Rattus norvegicus: one gene and its partners. The protein of the gene in region 5 interacts with the protein of the main gene of each other region in a pairwise test. Links are inferred from orthologs where the notes say so. Each region holds a gene or a part of one and is shown on either strand. Other genes may lie near its edges. The genes, in order: Tsga10, Gem, Enkd1, Ccdc120, Mid2, Lgals8 and Unc45a.

Evidence for each region.
Region 1: the proteins of Mid2 (region 5) and Tsga10 interact in binary tests that used the Homo sapiens proteins (3 or more experiments, as listed by UniProt). The two-hybrid records come from large-scale screens. The link is inferred for Rattus norvegicus from reciprocal best matches to the Homo sapiens genes MID2 and TSGA10.
Region 2: the proteins of Mid2 (region 5) and Gem interact in binary tests that used the Homo sapiens proteins (3 or more experiments, as listed by UniProt). The link is inferred for Rattus norvegicus from reciprocal best matches to the Homo sapiens genes MID2 and GEM.
Region 3: the proteins of Mid2 (region 5) and Enkd1 interact in binary tests that used the Homo sapiens proteins (3 or more experiments, as listed by UniProt). The link is inferred for Rattus norvegicus from reciprocal best matches to the Homo sapiens genes MID2 and ENKD1.
Region 4: the proteins of Mid2 (region 5) and Ccdc120 interact in binary tests that used the Homo sapiens proteins (3 or more experiments, as listed by UniProt). The link is inferred for Rattus norvegicus from reciprocal best matches to the Homo sapiens genes MID2 and CCDC120.
Region 6: the proteins of Mid2 (region 5) and Lgals8 interact in binary tests that used the Homo sapiens proteins (3 or more experiments, as listed by UniProt). The two-hybrid records come from large-scale screens. The link is inferred for Rattus norvegicus from reciprocal best matches to the Homo sapiens genes MID2 and LGALS8.
Region 7: the proteins of Mid2 (region 5) and Unc45a interact in binary tests that used the Homo sapiens proteins (3 or more experiments, as listed by UniProt). The two-hybrid records come from large-scale screens. The link is inferred for Rattus norvegicus from reciprocal best matches to the Homo sapiens genes MID2 and UNC45A.

The regions. Positions count from the first base shown.
Region 1 is NC_086027.1:47,591,262-47,595,241, forward strand, and holds the start of Tsga10 (testis-specific gene 10 protein), read right to left. Parts: upstream 2,801-3,980; 5' UTR 2,746-2,800; intron 2,601-2,745; exon of another isoform or gene 2,554-2,600; coding exon of another isoform or gene 2,482-2,553; intron 1-2,481. UniProt on the Homo sapiens protein: Plays a role in spermatogenesis. When overexpressed, prevents nuclear localization of HIF1A.
Region 2 is NC_086023.1:30,010,336-30,014,440, reverse strand, and holds the start of Gem (GTP-binding protein GEM), read right to left. Parts: upstream 2,801-4,105; 5' UTR 2,664-2,800; intron 1,348-2,663; 5' UTR 1,339-1,347; coding exon 1,011-1,338; intron 1-1,010. UniProt on the Homo sapiens protein: Could be a regulatory protein, possibly participating in receptor-mediated signal transduction at the plasma membrane. Has guanine nucleotide-binding activity but undetectable intrinsic GTPase activity.
Region 3 is NC_086037.1:50,503,617-50,507,794, reverse strand, and holds the start of Enkd1 (enkurin domain-containing protein 1), read left to right. Parts: upstream 1-1,378; 5' UTR 1,379-1,668; coding exon 1,669-1,753; intron 1,754-1,833; coding exon 1,834-2,028; intron 2,029-2,904; coding exon 2,905-3,077; intron 3,078-4,178. Other genes in the region: C19h16orf86 (uncharacterized protein C16orf86 homolog), read right to left, coding at 31-275, 609-826, 1,065-1,148. UniProt on the Homo sapiens protein: Microtubule-binding protein which regulates microtubule organization and stability. Promotes the stability of astral microtubules and facilitates the proper orientation of the mitotic spindle.
Region 4 is NC_086039.1:17,440,219-17,444,216, reverse strand, and holds the end of Ccdc120 (coiled-coil domain-containing protein 120), read right to left. Parts: intron 3,891-3,998; coding exon 3,828-3,890; intron 3,472-3,827; coding exon 3,297-3,471; intron 3,167-3,296; coding exon 3,068-3,166; intron 2,016-3,067; coding exon 1,101-2,015; intron 616-1,100; coding exon 501-615; downstream 1-500. UniProt on the Homo sapiens protein: Centriolar protein required for centriole subdistal appendage assembly and microtubule anchoring in interphase cells. Together with CCDC68, cooperate with subdistal appendage components ODF2, NIN and CEP170 for hierarchical subdistal appendage assembly.
Region 5 is NC_086039.1:109,223,820-109,227,319, forward strand, and holds part of Mid2 (probable E3 ubiquitin-protein ligase MID2), read left to right. Parts: intron 1-3,197; coding exon 3,198-3,325; intron 3,326-3,500. UniProt on the Homo sapiens protein: E3 ubiquitin ligase that plays a role in microtubule stabilization. Mediates the 'Lys-48'-linked polyubiquitination of LRRK2 to drive its localization to microtubules and its proteasomal degradation in neurons.
Region 6 is NC_086035.1:62,726,353-62,729,852, forward strand, and holds part of Lgals8 (galectin-8), read left to right. Parts: coding exon 1-96; intron 97-2,611; coding exon 2,612-2,731; intron 2,732-3,275; coding exon 3,276-3,332; intron 3,333-3,500.
Region 7 is NC_086019.1:143,690,683-143,693,291, forward strand, and holds the end of Unc45a (protein unc-45 homolog A), read right to left. Parts: coding exon 2,556-2,609; intron 1,650-2,555; coding exon 1,532-1,649; intron 1,427-1,531; coding exon 1,271-1,426; intron 1,109-1,270; coding exon 851-1,108; 3' UTR 501-850; downstream 1-500.

The DNA of each region.
Region 1 (3,980 bases), on a different chromosome or scaffold from region 5:
CATCTCTCCAGCTCTGTACACTAACGTTTAAAAATTAGTTTAAAAATATATCATTAGGGTCAGGAAAGTACACACTGTACACATAGGATCAGAATTTGGATCATAGCATCCTTGTAAAGAAGACTGGGCACAGCAGTGGGCAGCATGTGCCTGTGATCCTAGCATGGGACAAGCAGGGGATAAGAGGACCACTGGGCATGCTGGTCAGCCAGACTAACTGTACTGACAAACTCCAGGCTCAGTGAGAAATGATGCCTTAAAAATAAAGTAAAGAGGGGCTGGGGATTTAGCTCAGTGGTAGAGCGCTTACCTAGGAAGCGCAAGGCCCTGGGTTCGGTCCCCAGCTCCGAAAAAAAAAGAACCAAAAGAAAAATAAATAAATAAAATAAAGTAAAGAGGGATTAAGGGAAAACACCCAGGTCAGTTTGTAACCTTCACACACATGTATACATGTGCATGTAACACATAACACACAAAGTATCATTGCTCTTAAGCAAACTGAGTCACACAGTACACATTTGGCAAGTAGCTATTATATTGATACAATAATTAAAAATACTGTAGTATTTTCAATTCAGTCCTGAAAACTGGTTCTGGGAAAGCTAAACTAGGGTTAAGTTTTGCTTTTTTTTTTTTTTAAAACAATTCTCTCCAAAAGTTAGATTTACAGACTCATCAAAGTAGGATAGAAGTGCCTACCAGGAGATATGGATAATCCTACAAAAAGGTTATGAATGTCACATTTATATTTATGACAAAAATAAGTGAGTATGTTTTGAGAACTCACTTCAAGCAAAATAGTAAAGTCATTAAAGTTTAAACTTTTCTTAAGGTAAACAACAACAAAATCTCCCCAGTCATTTCACTCCAAGCTCCAAGCTCATCTCTGTTTCTACAATCCAGTCTCTAAAGAAATAACTTATGTTCTCAATGCAGCATGAAACAATGGAGAGGCAGTGTTTATCAAGACCTTAGAAACCCAAGACGGAGTTAGCTGTTCTCTGAAGGCTTTTCTAGACCAAAGGGATTAGTAATTTAAGACTAAGACTAATGGTGCAACTAAAACAAAAAGAACTACCTTCCCCACTGCCTCTCCTCAAAACATGAGATGCATATATTTTAATACCCATAACCCTGTCAGATATTTGAAAACCCACCGACAGTAAATTGTGGTATATCTTTACAGTGGAACACTAGCAAACTACCTAGAAGCAGTAAGGATACAACCTCTAAGTGTTGAAAATAAGCTGTAGAACACCTGCTACAGTTTCCCTTCTATAAAGTCCCCTAACAAGGCAGACTGTAAGCTGTACTTTTGCACAGGATGATAAAACTACTAGGAAAAGCAAGAAAATGGCTAGCATTGCCAGTATGGGGAATAAAGGAAGCGCAAGAGCATGTGACTTGTTAGGGAATAAATTACACCTGTTTTAATGGCCTCTACTTGTGGAAAACTTTAAAACCAAATGATTTTTAAACAAATGAGACATTAGACTGAAAACAGAACCCAGAGGCTCTCTCTTTGCCTGGTTATATTCTGGGCTACGGCAATGATTCTTCTTTGGAAAATAAGTAAAACCTGTTTTTAAAACTGCCATTAAATAATATCGAGGTTTGGGGGTTTGAAAGGAATATTGGTTGATGTAATATATTTATTATTTCTTTCCCAGTAATTAAGACAGAAGGACTTAGTTCATTGCTTAATTAAAATACAATTGTTTTGTTCTTCAAGCACAGTTAAATATAACTTCCCTTTAGCTTAACAACCTATTCTATTCCGAAATTACTATGACTTTATTTCCCGAAAGTGAACAAAATGTACTCGAAATCCTGAAAACCAGTAGAATAAAATGACTAGCTAGTACCGTGGGACATGCAGGTCTGCAGGGGCTTAAAGAAAACACCGAACCCTGTCACTTGTGCAAACCTTTCTTAAAATCTAAATCGTTGACTGAAGATTATATACAAATACTTATGTACATATATACGTCGGCATTTTTAGATATTAAATGCATGACAGATGCCTATTTGAGTCTTGAATAAGTTTTCAAACAAAAACCAGCCTACCCTGCCTTTCCTCTGTACAAACTAGGAGATTGTGAGATTTTTTTTTCATGCAAAATTCAATTTCTCCCTTCATCTGCCTTCTAATCTATAAAGAAGAGATTGAGGAGAGACTGGGGGGTCCTGAAACAGACAGGCTAAACTTCCAAATGCCACAGCTTCACCTCAGTGTCTCTAAGCAATCAGTCCCCCAACAACCAAGCTGAGGCAGGCAGCAGCGAAGCGGTCACCATAGGAACTGGGCTCAACCATGAACTCCCCAGAAACTAGGGTAAATTTTGCTCCTGGAAGCCATCCTACCCGGCGGGTTACCCACGACACAGCTGCCCAAACAGCGATGCCCACCCCGGGCCACCGTGAGGCTCTCCCCACCCTCTTGCAGCCGCCCCGGAGTGGCTCTCTTCTAGCCCAGCGCACCTCCGAGGCTTCTCCCTGGAGCTCCGCAGCCCTCCCCTGGCCTCCGCGGCCACCGTCCTCCCCGGAGCTCATCCCGGCCACTATGGGGCCTATGGCCTTGCCAGAGATCCAGCCCCACCCCGGCCTCCATCCTCCGCCCCTGTCTCCTTCTTCCCGCCCCCTGGCTCCGCCCCGGCGGAGGCCGGCGCTGGGCAGGGCGCAGCGGGAAGAGGGCGGGAGCGGTTAGCTCGGGGCTGGCCGACGCCCCGCCCTCACGCTCTGTACCTGAGCGGGGCTCTCCTTCCACCTCCCCGGCGCCTCCGCTCCACTTCCGTCCGGCGCGCCCTAGCCCCCGTGCGCACGCGTACTTGGCTCGACACGCCCTCTCGTGGGGGGGGGAACTACGGATCGTGCGCGCGCACCCGAGCGAGCACGTAGCGACGTAGACAGCAGCGGGCCCGAGCTGTCAGGGCTCCGACTTGAGGCCTTTTCCTGGTCCATCCGCGCCGCGCAGGCGCACGGCCACGCAGCGCCGTGATGGCCGACCCGTGCGTCCAGTCTCTTAGTAACCATCCTCCAGCCTGCGCTTGCGAGGAGGTAGCCGGAACGCGCAAGCGCGGTGGCCGTCGCCCGGCGCTGGCGCCCCTGCTGCGGTCCCAGGAACCCCAGGCGTTTCTAGCTGAGGGAGGCGGTTACTCCCTAGAGCTGCTCCGGTGCGCAGCCATCGTCAGGAAGCTGTGCTGTGGGAGCCTTAAGGTGGGGGACCCTGTCGCAGCTTCCTGGCGGGAGACGATCTGTCCTGGTGCCACGGGTCTGCTCGGGTCAGGATGGATCTGGGAAATGGCAGATCCAGCATTCATCTCCCCCATGCCAGTCGGGCATTTCTGTTCTACACGCCGGTCCTCTCTAGCACGCTTAGCAATGAAAATCAAGAAAGGATATAAAACCTCGTGAGATGTTAAATACTGTATCTGAAGGTTTTACCCCGAGTTTGGCTCCTACCAGCGAGCAAAATTGGGCCTTTTCTTATCCGACGTATTTTTTTTTCTATTCGAGAGCCTTAAAATGGCATCTCGAATCTTTCTAAATGGAAATGAGCCCCGCGCTGTGCTGCCATTGTTTTTTTTTTTTTCAGTTTAGCATGAAAAGTATTTTGTCATACTGCTTTTGTGAGTGCGTTACCGCTTCTACCCATCTTAGCCAGAAGGTTTTTTTTTTTACCCCGTTTTTATTTATTTTATTAGGACGCAAAGTAAATAGGTTTCTTTGTGGCATTTGCCTTCAAAATTTGTTTCTGTTGTCCACTCCCCTTGCCGTTCCACTCCAGTGACCCCAGTGGTCCCTGCCTTTTTCATGTCACAGTGTTCTGTTACCCTCAAACCACTCTTTCCCGCCTCACCTTGTAGTTTCGTGAGCTATGTCCACATTCACACCCGTATTTACCCCCTACATGTAAAGCTAGAATCGGCATGCAAGAACATAATGGCTTTTGACTTCGTGAGTCTGTTATCTCATTTAAA
Region 2 (4,105 bases), on a different chromosome or scaffold from region 5:
AGGGTATACATCTTAACTGAGAGTCGGGACAGACCATGTGAGGAGTTCCAACACTCCTTTCTCCATTTCTACAGCTGTTAACAGGAGGTGCAGCTGTTCTGGGTATGCATGAGATGTTGGGGCTCTAGCTGAAGGACACTGTATGACAACAACTGGCTACCCAGTTGTAATTTATTGTGTAATATATACAATATATTGTGTAATGTATGTTTGTATAAAATGGGTCTAGGAATAGGTAAGGATTAAATAAATAAATCCTTGAACTAGGATTTCATCTGGAAGAGAAAATCATCTGGAAGGCCTGTCAGGCTCTACATGGGGCGTTTAATCATCATCTTTCCATTTCAAAATTTTTAAAGTTATTATGTTACTTCAAGTACAGCATTTGACCTGCTTACACTCACAAATGTTTCTAATGTTAGTGGAAACAAACTAATTGATCCACTCTAACAGGTCTCTTTCCCCCAAAATCAGTTTGGTTTTATGCATAGTCACAGGAAAATTATCTGTGGTGATGAACTCTCCAAAACTGGTCCAGGGCAGAGTCAGCCTTTCTGGAACCTCCCAGACCTGACCTTCAGAAAGCCTCTTGATAACTTGGGTCACTGTGTACACATATTCCTCTGTGTGTGTGTGTGTGTGTGTGTGTGTGTGTGTGTGTGTGCGCGCGCGCGCGCGCGCGCGCGCTGGGCTCTGTGCCAGTAGGTAGGTTTCTGTCTCCCATCTCAGTACTGAGAAGGCATGCGTTTCTCCCCTAATTCTGAAGATAACGTTTTGTTTTAATTTGTTGGTTTTTTGAGACAGAATCACATAGCCCAGGCTAGCCTCAAACCTCTCTATGTAGCTGAAGATGACCTTGACTTCCTAGTCCTTCTGCTTCTTCCTTCACGGTGCTGGGATTACAAATGTGTACCATTATGCCTGGCTCCCAATTCTGCAGGGAAACGACCCACTCCCTCTTGCTCTTCCTGCTTACAAGACAGAACAGCACCGGGAACTGGGCCACCTACCTCCCAAGACCTCACAGTCGCTGTCCATGCTGTCATGTACACCTGCAAAGATGTTGGCCAGGGTGGACTTGCCCACTCCTTGCTCCCCAATAAGCACCACTCGGTAGTAGGTGTTTCCTGACTCGGAAGAGATAACCGAGTCTGTGGACTCGGAGGACCAGCTCCGCCGGCAGTGGTCATCGGGAGCAGTGGAGTGGTGGTTGTGGGGGTTGCAGGGGTGGGGATCCTTCTGGACCATCAGATGCCTGCCATCAGCAGGGATGCTCCAGCGTTGCTGTGGCTGCATGCCCACAGTGCCTTGGCGCATGGTGACGTTATTCAGAGTCATTGTGGGATCCTGGGAATCAGAGCAGTAAAGATGGCGACATTGTTAAGAATGAGCCAGGCCCAGGGAGTCTCAATACTGTCATCAGGGGTTCTTCACTGGATAGGTATGAATTCTTAACGTAAGGAACAACCATGAAACTCTTCCTAAGCCTGGCAAGCAAAGTCTTCAACAACAACAACAGCGCGAGTGCGCACACACACACACACACACACACACACACACACGGTGACTAGCTTCTCACTCAGGCTGTCATTTGTAGTACCAGTAACACCATCCATTGCTCAAAAGCTTCCTCCATCCTTGAAGGAAAATCCCACTGGAAGTTGGCACAGAGGAATCTGGAAGGAACCCATTGCCTCCAGAAATGGCTTTACCATCAGCAACAAGTCAGTACTGCTAGGGACCAGCTGGCCAGGTTAGCTGTTCTTGTCTAAACAGGGCTCTTCACTGCCCAGTGTCCTGCAGTCTTTTGTGCCTCAGTGGGAAACACGTGGCAATGACATCACTCCCCTGGCTGGACTGGACAGGCGCTTTGGGGGAACTTCCATGTTTAGTAAAGTTGCCCTGATGTTCTCCAGCTGCCTGAAGAGACCGTTATTTGGGGAGTGGGACAGTTTGAGGTTTATGCCTCAGCTCTGCTCTCTCACCCACAGATACTGTTTAGCATAACCAGCCCTGAGCCTGGTTCTTCTGACAGGGGAAGGACCTGCTCACGTTCAGATACATCAAACTTGTACAAAAAGTGCTTCATTCTTAAGGAATCTTGTCCAGTCCAAGATTTAATTAGCTCAGAATTCCACCTTTTTGAAGTAAATCAGAAGGTCAGAGATTCAGGGAAAAGCCACTCAACTTCCTACAACTTTCTCCTTGCAAGACCGCCTCCCCTGCTGACAGGCAGTCCGTTTTGCCAAGACTGCCCGAGATAACACAGCAGCATCCACTCCATGGTTAACTCAACAAGCTCCCCGCGCGTGAGTGCAGGGATAGCACTCCGCTCACACATGACACCTATACCACTAGACAGAACAAGCCGGTTTCTTTTTAAATCTTAAAAACAATCCCTGGGTTGACAGAGTTGTGTTGAGACCTTGAAGTCTGCCGCCTGGCCACCTAATCTGTAAGGTGACACTCCTCCGGAATTGAATTAAGGAACCCCCATCAGAAGCGCATCCTTTGCACCTGAACTTCTTTCTCCTATGGGAGAACCCCTGGCACAGACTTCATGGTCTAGGGTCTCCCTTCCCAACTTAAAAAGTTCAGTGACCAGGAACGCCCCTTCCCGCGGAGGGTCCCACTGGGACTGCCCCTCATCCATGTCCCCTTACTTGGCTGTACTGGGCGCTGGGTGGGCGTTTGCCGTCGGTCCGGACAATGCCTGCTGCCTGCTGCAATGCTTGCCGCCTGCCGATGCGGGTTCCGCAGTCTAAGGCTGTGTGATGTCCGCTGGCAGTGCCGCCTCCTGAAGCCTCCGCGGCCCGCCGCCGTTTATAGCGCGCCCGGCAGCCCCGCGACGGGGCTTTTCCGTGACGTCAGCGCTCCCGCCGGGAGGGGGCGGCTCTGCAGCAAACTCGGAGTTGCAGCCACTTGGCTAAATCATTTACTCGTAGTCATGTGACTCCCTTAGCCCCTTGAGGAGAGTGTGAGGGAAAAAAAGACAGTTCAAACGTTGGCCTCCTTGATTTTGTTTTATTTTCTTTTTATCAGGTGGACACTGGAAAAATACACTTAGTGCATCTTAATCGCCCTTCCCAGCAGAGCACTTGTGAGCTGTCTGAATAAAGGATGGGGAAAGAAGCAGGCCTGAGTCGCGAGTCCAGCTGTGCCAAGAAAACAGACCCATCAGAGTGAGCGGGACTCCGGCCTCCAGGATGGGGCTACAGCCACCTGAGTGGACAGGCCACCTTTACAGCATGCTCTGAAAAGCAACCAGGCCCTTCCTGCTTCCTGTCACCTTCTCTCTGGATTGGGGACACACAGTTTCCCTTTTCCTGCAGAGATCCAAAGAGAACGGGCCAGAGAAAAGAGTGGGGAAGACCTTGAAAAAGGGCAGTTTGGCTCCAAGCAGCTTGCGCTAAACACTGCTGTCCTCCTGGTCTGGCCACAATGCCAATCAGAAATTTAATCACACCCCGATCGGTGCATCTCAGAACCGAGCTGCTTAGCATGGCTGGATGTGGCCTGGAGCCAGGGCTTCCCAGCCATGGGGAGAAGCAGGCTCAATTCCCTCAGAGAGTCCTATTGCTACAACCCTTTGCAAAGACTTGCAAAGACCTGTGGTTCTGGTGGGCCCAGAGAACCTTGCTCCTTACTACAGTTGTGGACTGAGAACAAGTCTCGCTACAAGGGAACCTGCCTAAGGTCAGGGTGGAGGCAGAGGCAACATTCAGAGCCTAGTTTAAGTACCTTTTAAACTGCACTGCTAAGTGGCCTCTTCCCCAGGACATGAGCGTCCCCAGGACATGGGCATTTCCCACATGCTGTGTTTAGACTCCATGCTAGCTTTTCCAACAAATCCATCTGCTTCTCCAGCCAGCGTCTGCTGTGGGTTGGCCGGTGACTCCTCAAGAAACAGCCAGCACCACTGTCTGTTGGAGTGGCTGGGCTGCTCTGTGGTTACAATGGTGTCCCAGTTCTCCCGAAGGCATCTATGCGATCTGGGAATTATCCAAGTGACCAGCTTCTGAGGCCTGTCAGGAACCAAGTTGGCAAAGGTAGAATCCACCGAATAAGAAAGATTTAGAGCGCCTTAGTCTCAAAGGTGGAGTCC
Region 3 (4,178 bases), on a different chromosome or scaffold from region 5:
AAAAACAAAAGCCCAGGGATTGCCACTCACGCTCCAGCCCCAAGGTCTCTGTGGGTGCAGATGCGCTGGCCACAGCTGGGGGCACAGGAGCCCCTACACTCTTGCGTTTCTTGGCTTTTTTGTGCTGTTTAGATGACAGCGAGGATTCACTGTGGCTGCCTTCTGGCTCCTCCTTCTGTAGCAGCAGCCCTGGTGGCAGTTCGGCCTCTGCCCTAGGATGGGCATGGTAGCTTTGCCCTGGGAGGGCTGGGGTACTCAAGCCTGGGACAAGAGGCCTGAAAGAGGTAGGCTTCAGTCTTTGGTTCCTGTGTCTTGAACCTAGGGCTTACCCCTGCCTGTCCACCAAGCCACACTAGAGCTAGTTAACTGTCCATTTCTTAGTGAAGTTCCAAACCCAACAGGGGCCCAGCGTTCAATGGTAGCTAAGTCTCCTACAAGACTAAGAAGCCCCAAATCCACACCCCCGCCCCAACTGTTCTAGAGAAACAGGAGCTGGAGGTGAGGGCATTAGAAGAAAACAAGGTTCTTTGCCTTGAAGGAATTGGGATTTAGGAATCTCCAGGTCTAAGACCCACCTCCCCAGCCTTTCCCCTTGAAAGCCCTCTCACTTTCTCTTGGGCCCATGAGCTGGCCTCACGATGGATGATGTAGGCTTGGGTCCTCTCTCCTCTCCTGCTTCCACCCCTGGATTGAGCCCTTCCTCTCCCAGGTTTATTCCTTCCTCCTGGAGCTCTGGCTCTAAGCTGTGTCCTACTGGACACCTGTCTTCACCTGGAGTGCTGCAGGTCTCGTGTGCTGGCACCAGACACTCTTCTGTTCCTGGACACTAGAAGACATACATAGGTAACTGATAGCCCATGGTCAGGCAAAGCCCAAAGCTGCTGCAACTGGGGCATCTCTCTTGGTTTGGGGGCCTCTCCTAACTACATATTGGCCACAGAATAGGAAATCTTAGGTCCCTCTACCTGCAGGACTTGGCCTGGCAGTTAGAAGGTTGGGTCACCTAGAGTCCTGCTCTTCTGCCCTACCCCTCCTCCTCCTGAGCTTTGAAATGCCCAAGTCACCTCAGGGATCTCTGCAACCTGGGCTAACCCTACTGCTGCCCCATTCTGGGCTTCTGGCTGCCTCTTGGCCCCTGCTGAGGCCATGGCAGGAATCAATGCATCCCTCGACGGTTGCTCAGAGAAGACCGCAGGCCCAGAGCAGGGCTGGACCGGTGCTCAGTGTTGGTAGGGGAGACAGGTTGAGAGGTAAGGATCCTGTTGCGACCCGAGACTTAGACTCGCTCCTCATCTGGAACTACAAACCCCAGAAGGCATTTCGCCTTAGTCATTTGACCCCTGACCTCAGGAAGCCATTTGTTGCCAAGCAACAGCAACTCCTACCGACTTGCTACAGTTGGCGGTAAAACTGCTGCAGTGAGAGTCCACGCTGGGGCTTTGCAGGGGGAGGGGCCGCGAACCCCTCAGGGCCGTGTGCTAGTCGCGGGGCGGTGGTACGGGCTGAGCTTAGGAAACGAGCGGTAGTCGAGGGGTGGGGGTCAGTGATGGGGGGTACCACGGGGCTACAGAGCTCGGGTGGAGGGTGGAAACACCCGACAGGGATTAGAGGGGACATTTGCACAGCGCAACAGGTCCTGATGCACAGTTGCAGGGCTACGGTAGGATCATGTGCGAGGGCCCGTCCCGCATCTCTGGACCCATCCCCCCAGACCCTACTCTCTGCCCGGACTACTACCGGCGGCCGGCCTCGGGTGAGTTGCGGGGTGCCGCGGCGGGGCGAGTACCCCGCCCCACCTCTGAGCACGGCTTTCCACCGCGTCTTGCTCTTCAGCCCAAGGACGCCTGGAAGGAAACGCGTTGAAGCTGGACCTGCTGACTTCAGGTCGCGACCTGGACTCCAGCCCTCCTCGTGGCCCTCGCATCAGGCCTGGAGCCCGAGAGATCCTAGAGCGTGGCCAGCGAGGTGTGGGGGACGTGCTGCTGCAACTGGGGGGCATCTCCCTTGGTTCAGGGGTCTCTCCTAAGAGTAAGTCCTTGCAGACGGGGTATTGAGGCATTCATAGGTCAAAAGCAGAGATTAAAATAGGGTGCTTCTTAACCGCCTTGAACCCATTCAGTTAATGTGTTTTTCTGGGTCTTAATTTCTCTAGCCTAAAAGAAGGGCAAAATACTTCTTGCAGGATCAGAGTTCATCCTTCTGCAGAGAGCTCCAGCTTCAAGCTTTCACACCTTGATAGAACAGTTCCCTTAATGCCTACTTTGTGCCAAGCCCTATGGTTGTTAGGAAAACAAGGTTAAAAAGTATGGGAGTTGTCCCAGGGTAGGGTAACACCCAAGGGGGGCTTCCCCTTCACTGAAGAGAAGGGAAGGGGGTAATAGGGAGCCGGATATGACAGGGGCAGGACTGGGGTGGGGGTTACAATTGGGATATAATGTGAATTAAAAAATAAGGGGCTGGGGATTTAGCTCAGTGGTAGAGCGCTTACCTAGGAAGCACAAGGCCCTGGGTTCGGTCCCCAGCTCCGAAAAAAAAAAGAACCAAAAAAAAAAAATAATAAATAAATAAATAAATAAATAAATTTTGGGGAAAGAAGTAAGGGAGTCAATAAACAAGACAGGACATATGTATAATATACTCGGTGATATCATAAAATGTAGAAGGTAATCACAATTTCTGTGTAAGGGAATAAGCTGCTAATGTTGCTGTGTGTATGGCATTCAACTTCCATGTAGAGGTCTTGGTTGTATTTAAGAACTTTGTGTGTGATATTGGAGATTGAACCCAGGGCTTCTCATATACTGGACATCTCCCAGGGGTAGGGTGTGAATCTGTATGAGATCTAGTCTGAGTTGCACAGCCATTCGTAGGGCTGTTCCTAGCAACATTCCTCCCCTCCTCCAGGGAAGGATCCAAAAGACCATGAGAAGGAAAACTTGAGGCGGATCAAAGAGATTCAGAGGCGATTCCAAGACCAGGAACGCAGCCGGGAGCAGGCCCAGCCCAAGCCCCTGAAGGCACTGTGGCGCTCACCCAAGTATGACAGTGTAGAGTCTCGAGTCAAGGCCAGGATGAAGGTATCTGTCTCAGGCAGGCGGACATATCCATCTTGGCCAAGGCAGTTATATCTAATCTAACTTACGGGGTGTGTGTGCGTGCGTGTGTGTGTGTGTGTGTGGTGTGTTCACAAAGACTAAGACATCTGGTGGACCTTCTCTGAGGAACTGATGGCATCAGGGCAAGTGAGGATTAGGCTAGAGGAAGAAAAGGTTCCCCAGAGATGAAACCCCACAGGTAGGTAAAAGTTCTGGGCTCAGGGAGTAGGGGCAATGGGCATATAGATATAATTCTATTTGTAGGGGGAAAGCAGAAGGTTAGAACAGAAAGCCAGTTAAATACATATCTGAAAGAACTACCTAAGTTACTTATCAACATGTGATATTGGAGATTGGATCCTGGGGCACACGCACACTGGGTACTCATAAAATTATATCCTCAACCTTCCTACTAATTCATTCTCAGTTTCTCTGTCTCTATCTCTATGTTTCACGTAGCCCAGGCTGACCTCAAGTTCTTTGACTTTCTGATGCTCCTTTGTTCACCTACCAAGTGCTGGGATCAAAAGTGTGCGCTACCACGCTGCTTTCTCTCTTCTTTTTCTTTTAGTTAATTACTTTTTTGAGATTAAAAAAGACCAAAATTATGTGTCTGGGTGCCTGCATGTATGTCTGTGCACCACAGAGACCAGAAGAGGGTGTGGATCTCCCGGAACTGGAGTTACAGAGAGCTGTGAATTGCCACATGATACTGGGAATGGAAGCCACATTCCCGGGTAGAACATCCAGTGTCCTTAACTGTTGGGTGCTATCATACCCCACCACCACCACCACTTCCACTGCTACTTTGTTTCTAGACAGGGTCTCACTGTGTAGCCTAGTCTAACTTCAAACTCCTGTAGCCCAGGCTGGCCTTGAACTGGCATAATTCTCCTTCCTGTCTTAGCCTCCCAGATGTGGACAAAATGGGTTTGGACCACCACTCCCAGATGATTTCTCTCTGAGTTGGTAGCTTGCTGTTTAGCCTTAGGCTGTCCTTGAATTCTCTCTGTAACCTAGCCTGGCCCCAAACAGTTACTTCTGCGTCAGCCTCCTGAGTCCTGGGACTGTAGGCATGTACCA
Region 4 (3,998 bases), about 92 Mb from region 5:
TAGACAGAAGCCCACCTGCTCGAGAACTCTAGTGGGAGGAGGCAGGGAGCTCTGTTCACAGCAGTCCTAGTCCCGAGACTCTATGTGGTCCATTCTGTTGAGGCAGGGTGGTGGCTCTGGAATGGAACAGGCTGGGCACGGGGACAGGAATGAACCCAACCAGGAATGAGCTCAGTTTCCCTTTTATAAAACACCGAGTGTTGGGCAAAGACAGTGAATGCTAAATCACAAGTGTAAACAGAAATGGAGGAAGAAGCAGTCGCCACACCGTTATCCCCCTCTTTGAAGCTAGCTGGGGCCCTCCAGACCCCCAGCACAGGGTAAGAAGAAAAGCAGGGGTATCAGACATCTTCCCGGGCCAAAAGGAAGCCAGGGGTCCTGTGAGATCAGGCAGTTGTCCCGCAGGACCAAGAACAACCACATCTCAGGGCTCAGCGAGGTTGACTGTGTGTGCTCCTCAGACTGGAGTCTGTCTGTCCAGACCGACACAGGGCTTAGGGTCAGACCAGTGTCCCTGGGGTCTGGGTATCAGAACTGGAAGACTGCTCCCCCTCTAGCGTCAGGTCACTTAAACGAGCGCTCAGCTCCGGGGGATACAGGAAATCCGTGTAGTATCTTTAGAAAGGACAGCAGGAATCCGGAAGACAGGTAGGGAGGACAAGGTAAGAGAGGAAAAGACGGATAGGACACACACAGAGAGAGGAGAAGAGCTTGTTAAAGAGGTGGAGACAGCTACAGGATAGCACCTTCAGGTTCTCAAGCATGGAGTAAGCTTGGAAGAGAAAGCCAGGGAGAGCATGAGTCCCTTCCTCCCAGCACCCTGACTTCAAGGCTCACTGCCAGCTGCCCCACACTATGGAAAACAGAAAAACCCTTCTAAAGCTTGGGAAAGAACTCCTGCCACCAACACCCAAGATCCTCCTCCTCAGGACCCCAAGGACTAATAAAAGTTATGTCTGACAGTGACCCCATGCCAAGACTACAGCTCATTTTCTTGTGGTCCCGACACTCAGCAGCTATGGTGACAAAGTGCTCCCTGGTCAGGATACCTTCAGCATCTGTAGCAATACCCCTACCCATCAGTAAAAGCACCCCCATACCTGCCAGAGACAGGGGGCGCTGTAAAACTCCTGGAGTGCGGGAGCGGTGCCTGGCTGGGAGGGCCGTACAATGACTGGCCCACCTCATAGCAGCGGGCATGGAGGAAGGGTGTGTGTGTTGGCCCCACGTGCGGGAGCATTGGCCGGCGCTGGGGACCAACGGCCAGTCCCGAGTTCCGGATGTACCAGTCCCGCAGCCCCTCCAGGGCAAGGTTCTTGTGGCCACCTCGCTCACCAGCTGGAGGTATCCGGGTGGGTGGGGGCATCCAGAGTAATGGGTTTGGATGCACTTCCAGACCCTCCACGGCTTCTGGGGGCAAGCCACAGGGCTTGGAACGGATGGCACGGCTGTTGGGGTCCTTGCTGCGGAGGAGGGGGCTGCTACCATCAGCTGCATATATGGGTGGAGGACCTGGGAGCATGGCAAGGAGCCCGTCTCTGCGGGAAAGGGGTCCTGGAACTTCAGGAGCAGGCAGCAGGTCCCCCCAACCGGCCCCGCCACTACCGCGGGGCAAGCCTCGGTCCAATGAGTAGTCCAAGAGGAAGTCTCCACACACAGGTGGGAGCCGGGGGGGCCCACGGGATGCAGGGGCAGCCGAGCTAGGTCTGGCAGCCCGAGGAGGGTCTGGGGGGCCAGTGGTACGGGAAGAGAAAGAAGGGACTGGTTGGGGGCGCTCATACAGCACCTCACTGCTCTTGCAAACTGGGGGACCAGCAGCAGGGGGAGCCAGCGGAGCAGGTGGTGATCCAGCTCCCCCAGCAGCTGCACGGTCCACCAGCAGGGCCTCAGAGCTATTGCTGCGGCGCGTACGAGCTGCGAAGAGAGAGGCCCGATCCGAAGCAGGGTCAGGCCGAGGAAAGCCCATCTGGGAGTCCTGACTACCGGACCACTGACGAGGATGGAGGCCTTCGGGTCTGGAGAGCAGAGGTGAGGTAACAAGGGCAGGGTCAGACAAAGAATGCAGATGATGAGCGCCCTGGCTGCCCCATCTCTTTCTGAGCCCCCCCCCCCCTTGCTCTAAAATGGGACCAGTATTAGGAGCTGCCTTCTTATAGCGCTGAGCAGTGCGTGTAATGTCATGGGCCAGTGAAGTTCGCTCCCGCACAGGGAAGCTGGCGCATAGGGCGTGAAAATGTACACCAGGATGGGGTACACGCTCGTAGGGTTACGTAAATGTTTCTGGGAAGGAAGCAGTAGCTAAGGAAGGGCACACCCAGGTACTGTTCTGTTACCCAGGGGCTCCTAGTCTCCCCCTAAGGTTATCCTTATGGCTCCTTGTTACCTCCTGAAGGAAGTCCTAGGCCTTATGCCTGGAACTAAAGGCCTTGCTGAATTCTAACCCACCACGCCTATGAACCATCCCCAAACAACTGTCCCACCATGCACAGAATGTAGGCCCTCTAAAACACGAGGCTTCTGTTCACGGCATGGGAAAAATAGACATGTTTAACATTTAGGAAACATTATAGTATAGTGCTTCGAGGCTGACACTAGATTCCATAAATTTCCATGGGTTCAAGCATGAGAACTTCGGTTTGCTCACAGGTTACCTAATTAACCTTTCTGTGCTTCATTTTCTACATTTATAAAATGCAAATGACGGCATCTCCTCAGAGGGGTCTTAGAATGCGAGAAGGAGTTACTATCCGCCACGAATGCTATCAATTATTAGCAGACAGTAGGCATTTGCACATGCTACCCAACATGCACTGTGCCCGTGCCTTTCAAAGGCAGATATCACACTCCACAAATGAAGAGACAAAGATTCAGAGAAAGAAAATGGCATCCAAGAAAACACGGGAAAGCCCCACTTTCACACCTCTGCCTCCAATTCCCACTCCAACTTCTATCCGCCTTTCAAAGGCCGGCTGCCCAAGTCCCACATCTTCGGGTAATTCAACATCTACAGTTAGGACTACAGTCTTCCTCCTCTCATATTCAGACCCACCCTCAAGAGTCCCCTTACTTGCAGAGCCGGGGGCCACTGCCCCGGGTGAGGACAGGGGTAGCAGGCACACTTCGCCCCTCAAAACTGGAGGCACTCCTGGGCAGCGAGCGTGTGGGGCTAGACAGAGATGGCAGGCCCACATCGGGACCCAGGTTAGAAAGTGGACCCACCAGTAGGCCCTCCTGCCAACCCAGGCTCAGGATCCCACTCTTGGTCCCGGGAAATGGGAAAACGGGTTCCTCTTTACCTGGTGGGGCTGGCCACAGAGTTGCGCCGGCTCTTCAGGTCCCCATAAATATCTGATGGCGGAGGTTTCCATGGGGCACGTCGCTCGGGGCTCCCCCCAGATACCGCCCGAAACTGGTCCCAGGCTTTTGGTGGGGAGGGGCGCTCCGTTAGAGGGAAGCAGCTATGAGGCTCTTCTGGGTAGAAGGAAAAATAAGGTAAAATTCAACGAGAGGGCCCAAAGGGGCAGAGCAGGCTCAAAGGGGAGGGGCATGTGAAGGGGAGGGGCATGTGAAGGGGAGGGGCATGTGAAGGGGAGGGGCATGTGAAGGGGAGGGGCATGTGAAGGGGAGGGGCATTGCTGGGATAGGCTTCAACAAGCTAAAGGATGAATGATGCAAGGCAAAAAAGGTAATGTAGAGACTGACCTGTAGGGTCTGGGGCAGAGGAAGGCAGTGAAAGGAGAAACTAAGAACACATAGGGACATGGGGCGCGGCTAAGGAGGAGCTATAGTAGGAGGGGCTGAGCACAGGTTAAGGGAATAGTTCTCACCATTATCATGGCTGGCACCTGACTCTGAGAGGGAGCTGCTCTCCGAGTGCAGAACTACATCCTCTACAGGTGAGAAATGGAGAAGCAAGAGATCAGTCAAGGTCTGGGTTCTAGCTCCTTATACCACTGGATATAGGCACTTCTGTGTAGCCTACCTAAGGACTACTGACT
Region 5 (3,500 bases):
CTTTTCAGAGACCTGCCTGCACTCAAGCAAAGCCAGGGTTCTAGGCTGCAAGCAGAATTTCAGATTGAGTCAGTATGGTGCAGAATTGGAGTTTATTAGGAAGAACGTGTGACACAGATTTGAACTTGGGGTGTTAATAGAAAGAAAAGTGCTCAGGGAACGGATGCGACATGTCCGAGAGTATGAGCATGGGCCTCTCACAGGACATCCCCCTTGAATTCCTTAGCGGTAGCTCAATAGAAGATTTTAGAGGGTTTTGAACTTACACAGTTCAAGGTGTTTTAAAGGGAACACCCTTCCTCTGTCTCTTTTCTTCATTTTGATAAGGAAAGGAATGGGATGGCTGTAGGAACCTTGAGTAAGATTTCACCCTGATCAGGTAAAACCAGGGTCCAAAGGTTACACAAGGGTGTTAAGATGTGCCTTTCCGGGGTTGGGGACTTGGCTCAGTGGTAGAGCGCTTGCCTAGCAAGCGCAAGGCCCTGGGTTCGGTCCCCAGCTCCGAAAAAAAAGAAAAGAAAAAAAAAAAAAGATGTGCCTTTCCTGTAAATGTGGGGATTATTGTGAGATTCCTTAACAGTTGAAGGCTTACAGAAGACAGTCCCTAATTTCCCTGTCCTACTATCCTGCCTCATTACCTCACTTACTGCTTATTCTTAAGTGACTTAAAAATCTGCTGCTAAGGCATTCAAGGAGGATTCTCACTTGAGAAGCTCACACTTCTTCCGCTACAGCTTTAGAACTATTGTTAAAACAGAAATTTATGCTCATTATTCCTCTACTTAAATTGCTCCAGTGTCTCCTGTTCTTATTCTTAGGTTAAAGGCTCGAGTTAAAAACATAGCATGTAATATTTCACATGGTTCTGCCTCTTTCTCCACCCTTTAAGCCTTTGTTAACTGATCATCATGTAGGTCATGGCTTAAGAGTAGCTTCCAGCTGGGCACAGTGGTGCATGCCTTTAATCTTGGTACTGGAGAGGCGGGGGTAGGTGGATCTCTGAGTTTGATGCCAGTCTGGCCTACAGAGTTCCAGGACAGCTCAGACTTCACAGAGAAACCCTGTCTTAAGGCAAGGAACAAACAAACACCAAACCAAACCAAACCCAACCAAAACCAAAACCCAAAATAAAACAGAAACTTGTTCTGGGGAGAGTTGTCTTTGGTCCCATGTTCCTGTGTTTCCCATACCCTCCTTGCATTCCCCATTTAATGTCTCTGTTCGTTCCCCATGACCTCTGAGCTCATTGAACGCGTGGATCACAGTGAACCTGTTTCCTTGAATATCTGTACAATGGAGCACAGTGTAGGGCACCTTAGTTTTGCTTAATAACGTTTGGGTATGTGAATGGATGGATAGGTAGATGAATAAAAGAAAAATATTGGGAAGGCCAGGAAAAAATTATGACCAATTTTTCTGACTTAATATTAAGATTATTATTCATCAAATACTAGAAAAATAGCTCTTCACTGTGAAACCTTAAGATTGTCTTGTGCTGGGCATCTAGTTGTATCCCTTTAATCTTAGCACTAAGGTGGTACTAGAAAAGGACCACAAGCTCAAGGCCATCCTTAAGTACATAGGAAGGTGAAGGCCAGCCTAAAGTACAGCAGATTCTGTTAAAGCAAAAACAACAAGATAAAACAATACCAAAAATAAAATCCAAAACAGTTGTATGCGGTTAACCCCTCATTTATTTTTGCTGTCATGCAATCGATTCTAGAAACATCTATGGTTTCAGAAGTAGGCACAAGCTATTGGTTGTAGATATGTAGTATATGTATTTGCCCAATTGCTCATTGCCTTACAAATGGCTCAGTATAAAAGTTGCTGTTCTGATTTTACTCTACCCCATGCTTCCTCTCTCCACTGGAACCTCCGTAGTGTTTGCAAGATAATGTTTCCTTCCATTTTGCTATCTGTATGCACAAGGAACTTCATTAATTCTGATTCAGAAGGTCTGATACTGGACTAAAATCTGAATATTTTTGTAAAAGTTTCCCCACATAAGTCTAATTAACCATTGGATCATAAGAATTGCTGATGTACATAAAATGTATACTTAAAATTAGGAATAATGTACACGGTTATGGAAACAGAATTTAAGATCAGACAAACGTGGCTTCAATTAAAATTTGACTTTTACTATTGTGTGTGATCTTGGCAGCCTCCTTAGCTTTTAAATGTGCATGCTTCCTTGCTTACAAAATAGAAATAACTTCCACTGTATAACATTGTGGTAGAAGAAAATTAGATACTTTATGCAGATTCTTCATGTTCTTGCACAGAACCTTATATATACTAAGCATTCTATGAACTTTAGTATTATATTGTTTTTGTAAGTCACTCAGTTACTTGTTCAACACATATTTATTCACTATGTGTTCAACATTGTTTTAGGAACCATAGAAGAAGATATAGGAGGTAAAATAGGAACCTATTCCTGTGTCTCTTAAAGTTAGTTGGACAGCCTAAGACTGTAACCCAGTTAGCAGACTGTTTGCATAGCATACACAGAGCCTTAGGTTGAATCCCCAGCACCTCCTAAATGGGACATGGTGGCACATCTCCCTGACCCTCAGGAGACATAAGGAGGCGAAACAGGATTCCAAGGTAATCCTTGGCTGGGTAGCATGTTCAAGGCTAGCCTGGGATATGCAAAACCCTATCTCAAATAAATACATAAATAGGAAAGAGACATTTCGGTGGGAACATAGTTATCACAGTGTTATGCAATTAGAGAATAATGCAATGAAATATGAATATTTTAAAAGATCAAATAATGAATAGTATTAATGGGGAGACACTAACCCAACACGTTGGTTTCTTAGTTAGCACGGAAAAAGGAGACAGAAAGCAATCTGAAGCTGCTCTTCCCAAGCCAGCAGAGGTCTACTTTGATGCTGCCTGCCAGATGGAAAATGATGCAGAGGGGAAAAAATCCTGTATTTACTTCTCAAAATTAAGACAGGATGGCGGAGTGTGTTTGAGGGGCGAACATATGTGTGTAAATATGGTATAACTCTTAATTGGTTCCTTACGATTAAAATGGAAACCGTTTCCGTTGGAAAGGCAGAGATCTGGTATTTTCACTTACAAGTGATTTATTTTTACCTCGTTAAACCAGAAATCAAACACTAGATGAAGGTTGCAAGCTTATTTGGATGTATATTGATGTATTTTTTTTTTCTTTTCAGGGTCGCTATGGCAACTGCATCTTCGCAAGTTCTGATTCCAGACATCAATTTTAATGATGCCTTTGAAAACTTTGCTTTAGATTTTTCTAGAGAAAAGAAACTATTGGAGGGGCTAGACTATTTAACAGGTGTGGAAGAGCTGTGCTTTCCTCCCCCCATTGTATTTATTTATTTTCCTTCTGTACCCATTTGTCTAGAGTAAACTGAAAAGGAAAATATTTGCAATAATGAAAAAAATAACACTTTTCCAGTATGTGTAGTTTTTCAGACAAGATCAAGTGTGCTTCAGGTGGTACGGTTGTA
Region 6 (3,500 bases), on a different chromosome or scaffold from region 5:
GAGAAATGGGGCTGGGAGGAGATCACCCACGACATGCCTTTCAGAAAAGAAAAGTCCTTTGAGATTGTGATCATGGTGCTAAAGAACAAATTCCAGGTAGGTGCTGAGAGAGAGAAAGGGGGTGTGTGAGCGTGCGTGGGGATGGCGTGGGGAACTATATGTCACCGTTCAGATGGAAACGCAGATGCAGAACAGAGACATTCTTAGGTCTTCTTCCAGGAGGGTAAATTCTGGATCATGTCACGGTTAGGGGAGTGGGTTATAAAACCCACACCTGAAGTGTCCCACTGCCCCTCATGGCTCCATGACAGATCCAGTGCATGCATCTCCCACCCCGAGAGGCCATGGTGCCCAAGAGGAAGATTAGTGTGGATAGAGCGATGAAGGCGGAGCCCAAGCTCCATTCCTTGAGGCTATCGGCCAAGCCCCGCCCCTGCCAAGGTGGACAGGAAGCCGGAAAAGTGGGAAAGGATAAAAACATCAGACAAAAAAGTGCAGATAAAAGGGAAGAGGGAAGCGAAGGGCAAACAGGCTGACGTGGCTGACTACAGATCTGCCTGCAGACAACGGAGAGACAGAAAACCAGAGAAGAGAAAGATACCAAGTCCAACTAAGCTTCCATCACGTCTGTCAGTGGTCCCTGCCACTCTTCTTGTACAATCCAGAGGAATATTTTTTTATCAACCATTTTGTAAATGCCAGTTTTTTAGTAGCTCTAGAAACATTTTTAAAAGGTGAGGGAATCCCACCCCATCCCATTTTTTTAAGTGTAAATGTTTTTTTTAAAGAGGTTAAATCATTTGCTGGTTGTTTATTTTTGGTACAACCAGAAAATAGCAGGATACTGAATCAGGAGAGGCTGTGACTGTGTTGAGGGTCACCATAACATACTGTAGAGGGGGCTGGTTCTATATCCTACAGTACAAAGCTTACTAAATAGCAATTTGGAGTCTCAGTCATGCATTCGTGTCTGGAATTTTTTCAGTTATATCTGGTCCAGTGTTTCTAGTAGAGCCATTTTGTAAGAAAGCCAGTCTTTGGTCCTCGCCCTGTCAGAACTGTGATGCCTTTTGTCATGGCAGACCATTTTCCTAACAGTTGTGATAATGTGCAGTGAAAGATGGAGATTTTGAGTCTGTTCTGTGGTGTTGTGAATTGGTGGAACTGAGGATTATGAGCATTTGGTTGTCATGAGAGGTCTTATGGAAACTTGCCAAGTTTGAGGAAACAATACGTAGCTCTTTGTTTGCGTACATAACGCAATGTGACTCTTCAGCGTTTGCGTACCTGTGATAAGAATTGAAATGTCTGTGTACTCTGCTCCTTGACCAATAGAATCTCAGTTATGAAAATAAATAAACAAATAAATCCCACACCTGAAGTGTGGGAAAGTCTGCATGACCCGTCTATTGGTGAACAGGGAGCACCTCAAAGGGGCATGCCCAGTCTCTCAGCAAGCTACTGCTGTAGAGCCCTGAGGGCCTTGTGAACAGTGACTTCCAGAGGCCCCTAAGAGTGCCAACCCCCAAACCCATAGAGGGCTTGTACAGCGGAGGTCTTGCAGCACATTTTGGTCCAGGTCCTTGTGGGACATTGCCCTTTGGAGCCCCCTGTGCTCCTCGGTTTGCTGTCCTATGCCCTTCAGTCTTTAATCTAGCTGTACCCCCCGTTGTTGCCCTGGGTTTGTTGTATATGGGGATTTTTAAAGCTCACTCAAAGGTCCTACTGTGGGCCCTACTACGGGCTGCTCATGTCTCCCTCCTGGAATCTGAGGTACACCACCTGGCATTTGAAGGTCCTGTGTAGAAGATTCACAGATACAATCTTCCCATCTCACACAACTGTAGCCCACTGAGTGAGGCTCTTCTCACCCCGAGATAAGAAATCTCAAATAAGTCAGAGAGCTTACCGTCACTTTGCTTTGTGTGTGTGTGGGGGTGGGGGGGTTTGTCTTTTGAGACAGGGTTTTTCTGAGTTGTGCTGGCTAGCCTTGAACTCACTCTGTCGACCAGGATGTTCTAGAACTCAGGAGTCTGCCTGCTTCTGCCCACCAAATGCTGGGATAAAGCACCATCACTGCTTGGCTGCTGCGTGCTTTCACCGAGTGAGCTCAGTGCCTTCTTGTCCCTCCCATAGAGGTGGGGCTGTCAGACTGTAGCCCTGAAAGAGGGTTGGGACCACAAGGAGGCAGAGCTTACCTGCATCTTAGGCTTCCAGACCTCGTGAATGGCTCTTGGGGCCCTGCGCATGGTTGTCTCCTGGGCACACACAGATAGATACATGTGGAGCACACATAACATCCAAATGTATGTGTCTGGAGAGATGAGTCAGGCACTTACTCAGACAGTACTCCAAAAGTTCAGAATTTCTGCTACTGAGGTTGCTGCTTTCAGCCACAATGCAAGCAGAGATCTGTGAGAAAAACCTGAGGCGTCATCTCATTCATTCATTCATTCATTCAGTTTTGTGGTGCTGGAGATGAAACCTGGGACTTCACACTGTGGGCAAGTGTTGTACCACAGCTCCAGTCCCACCCCGTAAGAGACACTTATTTGGATGAGGACTTACCTATCACTGTGCTCTGAGTGCATCGCCTTCTGCGTCTCTCCAGGTGGCTGTGAATGGAAAGCACATTCTGCTGTATGCCCACAGGATCAACCCAGAGAAGATAGACACACTGGGCATCTACGGCAAAGTGAACATTCACTCCATCGGGTTCAGATTCAGCTCGGTCAGTGCCCTTCCACACACCCCTGGGGGCTTCGGGGACAGTGTTTTCACGTTTGGTCAGACCAAATGGCAGAAACTTCCTTTAATTTACACCTTCCATTTAGGTAAAAATAATATAACTATTTCAGACCTAGTTGGGTTCTGCCCACTAAGCATGCTTTTGTTGTTATAGGACCTCAGATCTAGAGTGAGCCTACCAGTTGGTTAGTTAGCGTGAATCTCCTGTCCCTGGGTGTGAATAACTAACTATTCCTATAAGACAGTTTTCTATGTATCTAAATTTAAGCTTCCCGGACATTGCTAGCTTGTTTCCAATGCTGTGAACGGTGTAATTCTCAACAGCTGTGCCTAGCTCTTAGGAACATTAGATCTTGTTCTCACAAACTCTCGCCAGTTTGGGGGACCCCCACTGTTGAGTTGCATTTTTAAAAAGCATAATTATCAATAATTTTCCATGGTCAGTATCACCAATAAGTTTTTATTATGTTCAATATTTTAAAGAGAGATTCTAATGGATGTTAAAATTAATGTATGTTCTTTTGCAGGATTTACAGAGTATGGAAACATCTACTCTGGGACTGACACAGATAAGTAAAGAAAATGTAAATATTCTATGAACCATCAGTTTAAAATGTTCTTAGTTACTCTCAGTGGAAGGAAGGATCTTTTCTCCCTTTAATGATGGAGTTTTCTGTATGTGTTCATATGCATGCAGGTGTGTGTGTGTGTGTGTGTGTGTGTGTGTGTGTGTGTGTTCAGGTAGGCTAGAA
Region 7 (2,609 bases), on a different chromosome or scaffold from region 5:
CGGCAACTGTAATTCCCACTACTTTTTTTTTTTTTCCTTTTCTTTTTTTTCGGAGCTGGGGACCGAACCCAGGGCCTTGTGCTCGCTAGGCAAGCGCTCTACCGCTGAGCTAAATCCCCAACCCCTACTTTTTTTTTTTTTTAAGATTTATTTTATTCATATGAGTATACTGTAGCTGTCTTCAGACACACCAGAAGAGGGCATCAGCTCTCAATACAGATGGTTGTGAGCCACCATGTGGTTGCTGGGATTTGAACTCAGGTCCTCTGGAAGAGCAGTCAGTGCTCTTAACCACTGAGCCATCTCTCCAGCCCCGCACTACTCTTAAGGGCTGAGAAAGGATCGTCAGTTTGAAGCCAGCCTGACTTACCCATATTAAGGCCTTGTCTACAGATTCTCCATGTGCCCACTGGCTTCCTTTCCTTACAGGGGAAGCACACTAGGCTGCAGCTCCAGAGCGTCCCACCCTCAGCAGCCCCGCCTACACAACAAACTTGAGCTTTAGTTCCACATGATTTATTAGAGGGACTAGCCTGCTGGCAGGCTCTGGTGATGCTCCCGGCTTGTGAGGATGCTACTGTGCCCTTCCTTCTTGATGCCCATAATCCACAGACTTGAATGGGATGCGTGCTCCCCATTCCCAGCTCTCTACAGTACAGACAGGGCCCTTCTGAGTGCTGGCAGGGCAGGGCTGTGTGGTGCGTGTCCCCAGGATAGAGAACACCAAAGTGCAGCTGGGGAGGAAGGCCAGTGTCCAGCATCCCAGTCCTGTTGGCCACGCTGCTTCTATCCTGACTCTCAGAGCTGTGATGGGTAGCAGACACATGAGCTGTGGGTCCAGGGCAGAACCTCACTCCCCATCCTGGTTGGGTTGGATAAGTCTATATTCCACGGCTTTCTCCAGACAGGCTGCAGCAGCCCTGGTGACTGGGCTCTCCTCGCCCTTGGCCAACACTGACAGGATCTCCAGGACCTCGCTCTCCATCAGGGTGCTGGCGATCTCCTTCGAGGACTCCATCATGTTCAGCACCACGACAGTGCCCCGGTGCTGCAGCTCCGGATTGGGGCTCAGAAGCAGGGCCTGCAGGATCTCCAGCCAGTGCGTGGTCTGTAGGGAATGGTGGGTGTGAAGACCTAGCAACAGGCTCGACTCTGGCAGAAAACACATCTGTACCCTGGGAGCTCCCCAACAGAAGAGCGATGCTACCATGTGAGGAACTGCTAGTTCCCTCACCCTCCTCCATGCCCCCCACAAGAACAGGCAACTAACCACTTGTGGGATACGGCTGCAGAGTGAGGGCCGCATGGAGGTGAGCATGGCCAGGCCACCGGCAGCAGCCCTCCGCAGAAGCTCATCATCTTCTCCGCTGTACAGCACCAGCAGCTTCAACCGGTCGTTGCCCTGGGCTTCGAAGAGATCCTGTACCTGCGAACAGACGGGGAGAGGACCCTGCTACCTCGGCCCACAGTGTGCTCAAAGTGCAGGGCCGCTGGCATCTCTGTCACGGTGACTAGCTGGACCGACCCTCACCTCTTTGCTCATGGCTAAGTTACACATGCACTCTGTAGCTGCCCGGCGGATCATCTCATGCTCCTCAAACATGTAGCCCTCAATCATGGGCACGGCCTTCTCCTTCAGGATCTTCTGTCTGCAGGACAAGTTGGCACACGTGACTAGAGTCTCCATATCATCCTGTACCACACTACCCCAGGTGGCTGTGCCCTGAGCTGAGGCGCTCCCCTAGCAGTGCCCACAGGCTTTCCTGTGTGGGTTATGAACTGCAGAGCTTTCTAGCCTTCTGGCCTGGCTACACACAGCATGGGGGTGTTGAGCGTCCTGGAACTTAGCAAAGCAGGGTGGTTATGAAGATAGCTCGGTAAACATCAATCATCTGAGCTCTGAACCTGCCCAAGCTGCCTGAACTGTTTCACCTGACGCTCATCATAGCCCCAGGCTTGAATTATCTTCCTTAATGTTCACCTTACTCCATGTATAGTGGTGGCTACCGTCTCTATTTAGCCAAAGCAGAAACTGGGCCGCATGGTGAGTCATGTGTTCAAGGTCACAGTACTAACAACTAATACACATTCACTGTGACTACTGCCAGGGCCAGATACCTAGGAACTAAGGGCTTTCAGGAGAGGTTGGGGAGTCTGGCCTAGAACTCACAGCCAATCTTCCTCCCTTGGCATGAGCCACCACTTGTGCCTGATGAAGGGTTTTATAAGCATTTTCTCAGCCATCTCTCCATGCTACTACTCCACAGTTAGATACCTAACTAACTCTGAGTGGAAGCTGAGGCAGAATGACTTAAAGACTTTCTTAGGGTGAGTGAGCCAGTGAGTGTCAGCAGTCTGAGGAGAGGAGGAGGATGTAGTGGGCAGAGTCAGGGCCCCAGCGCTTCACCCTGCCACCCCTGGCATGACTGTGTCCTCTGTATGTGGCAGAGGAGTCATTGTGAGGCACACAGAATGACCAGGAACTGTCTTCCAAACTCCAGCGTGAGTAACTGGGGCTCACCCAAATCCCTGTGCCAAGCTGCATAGGACCTTACCTAAGCCTCTCACTGATCCCGGCCAGGTTCGTTAGGGCCATGAGGGCCTCAAAG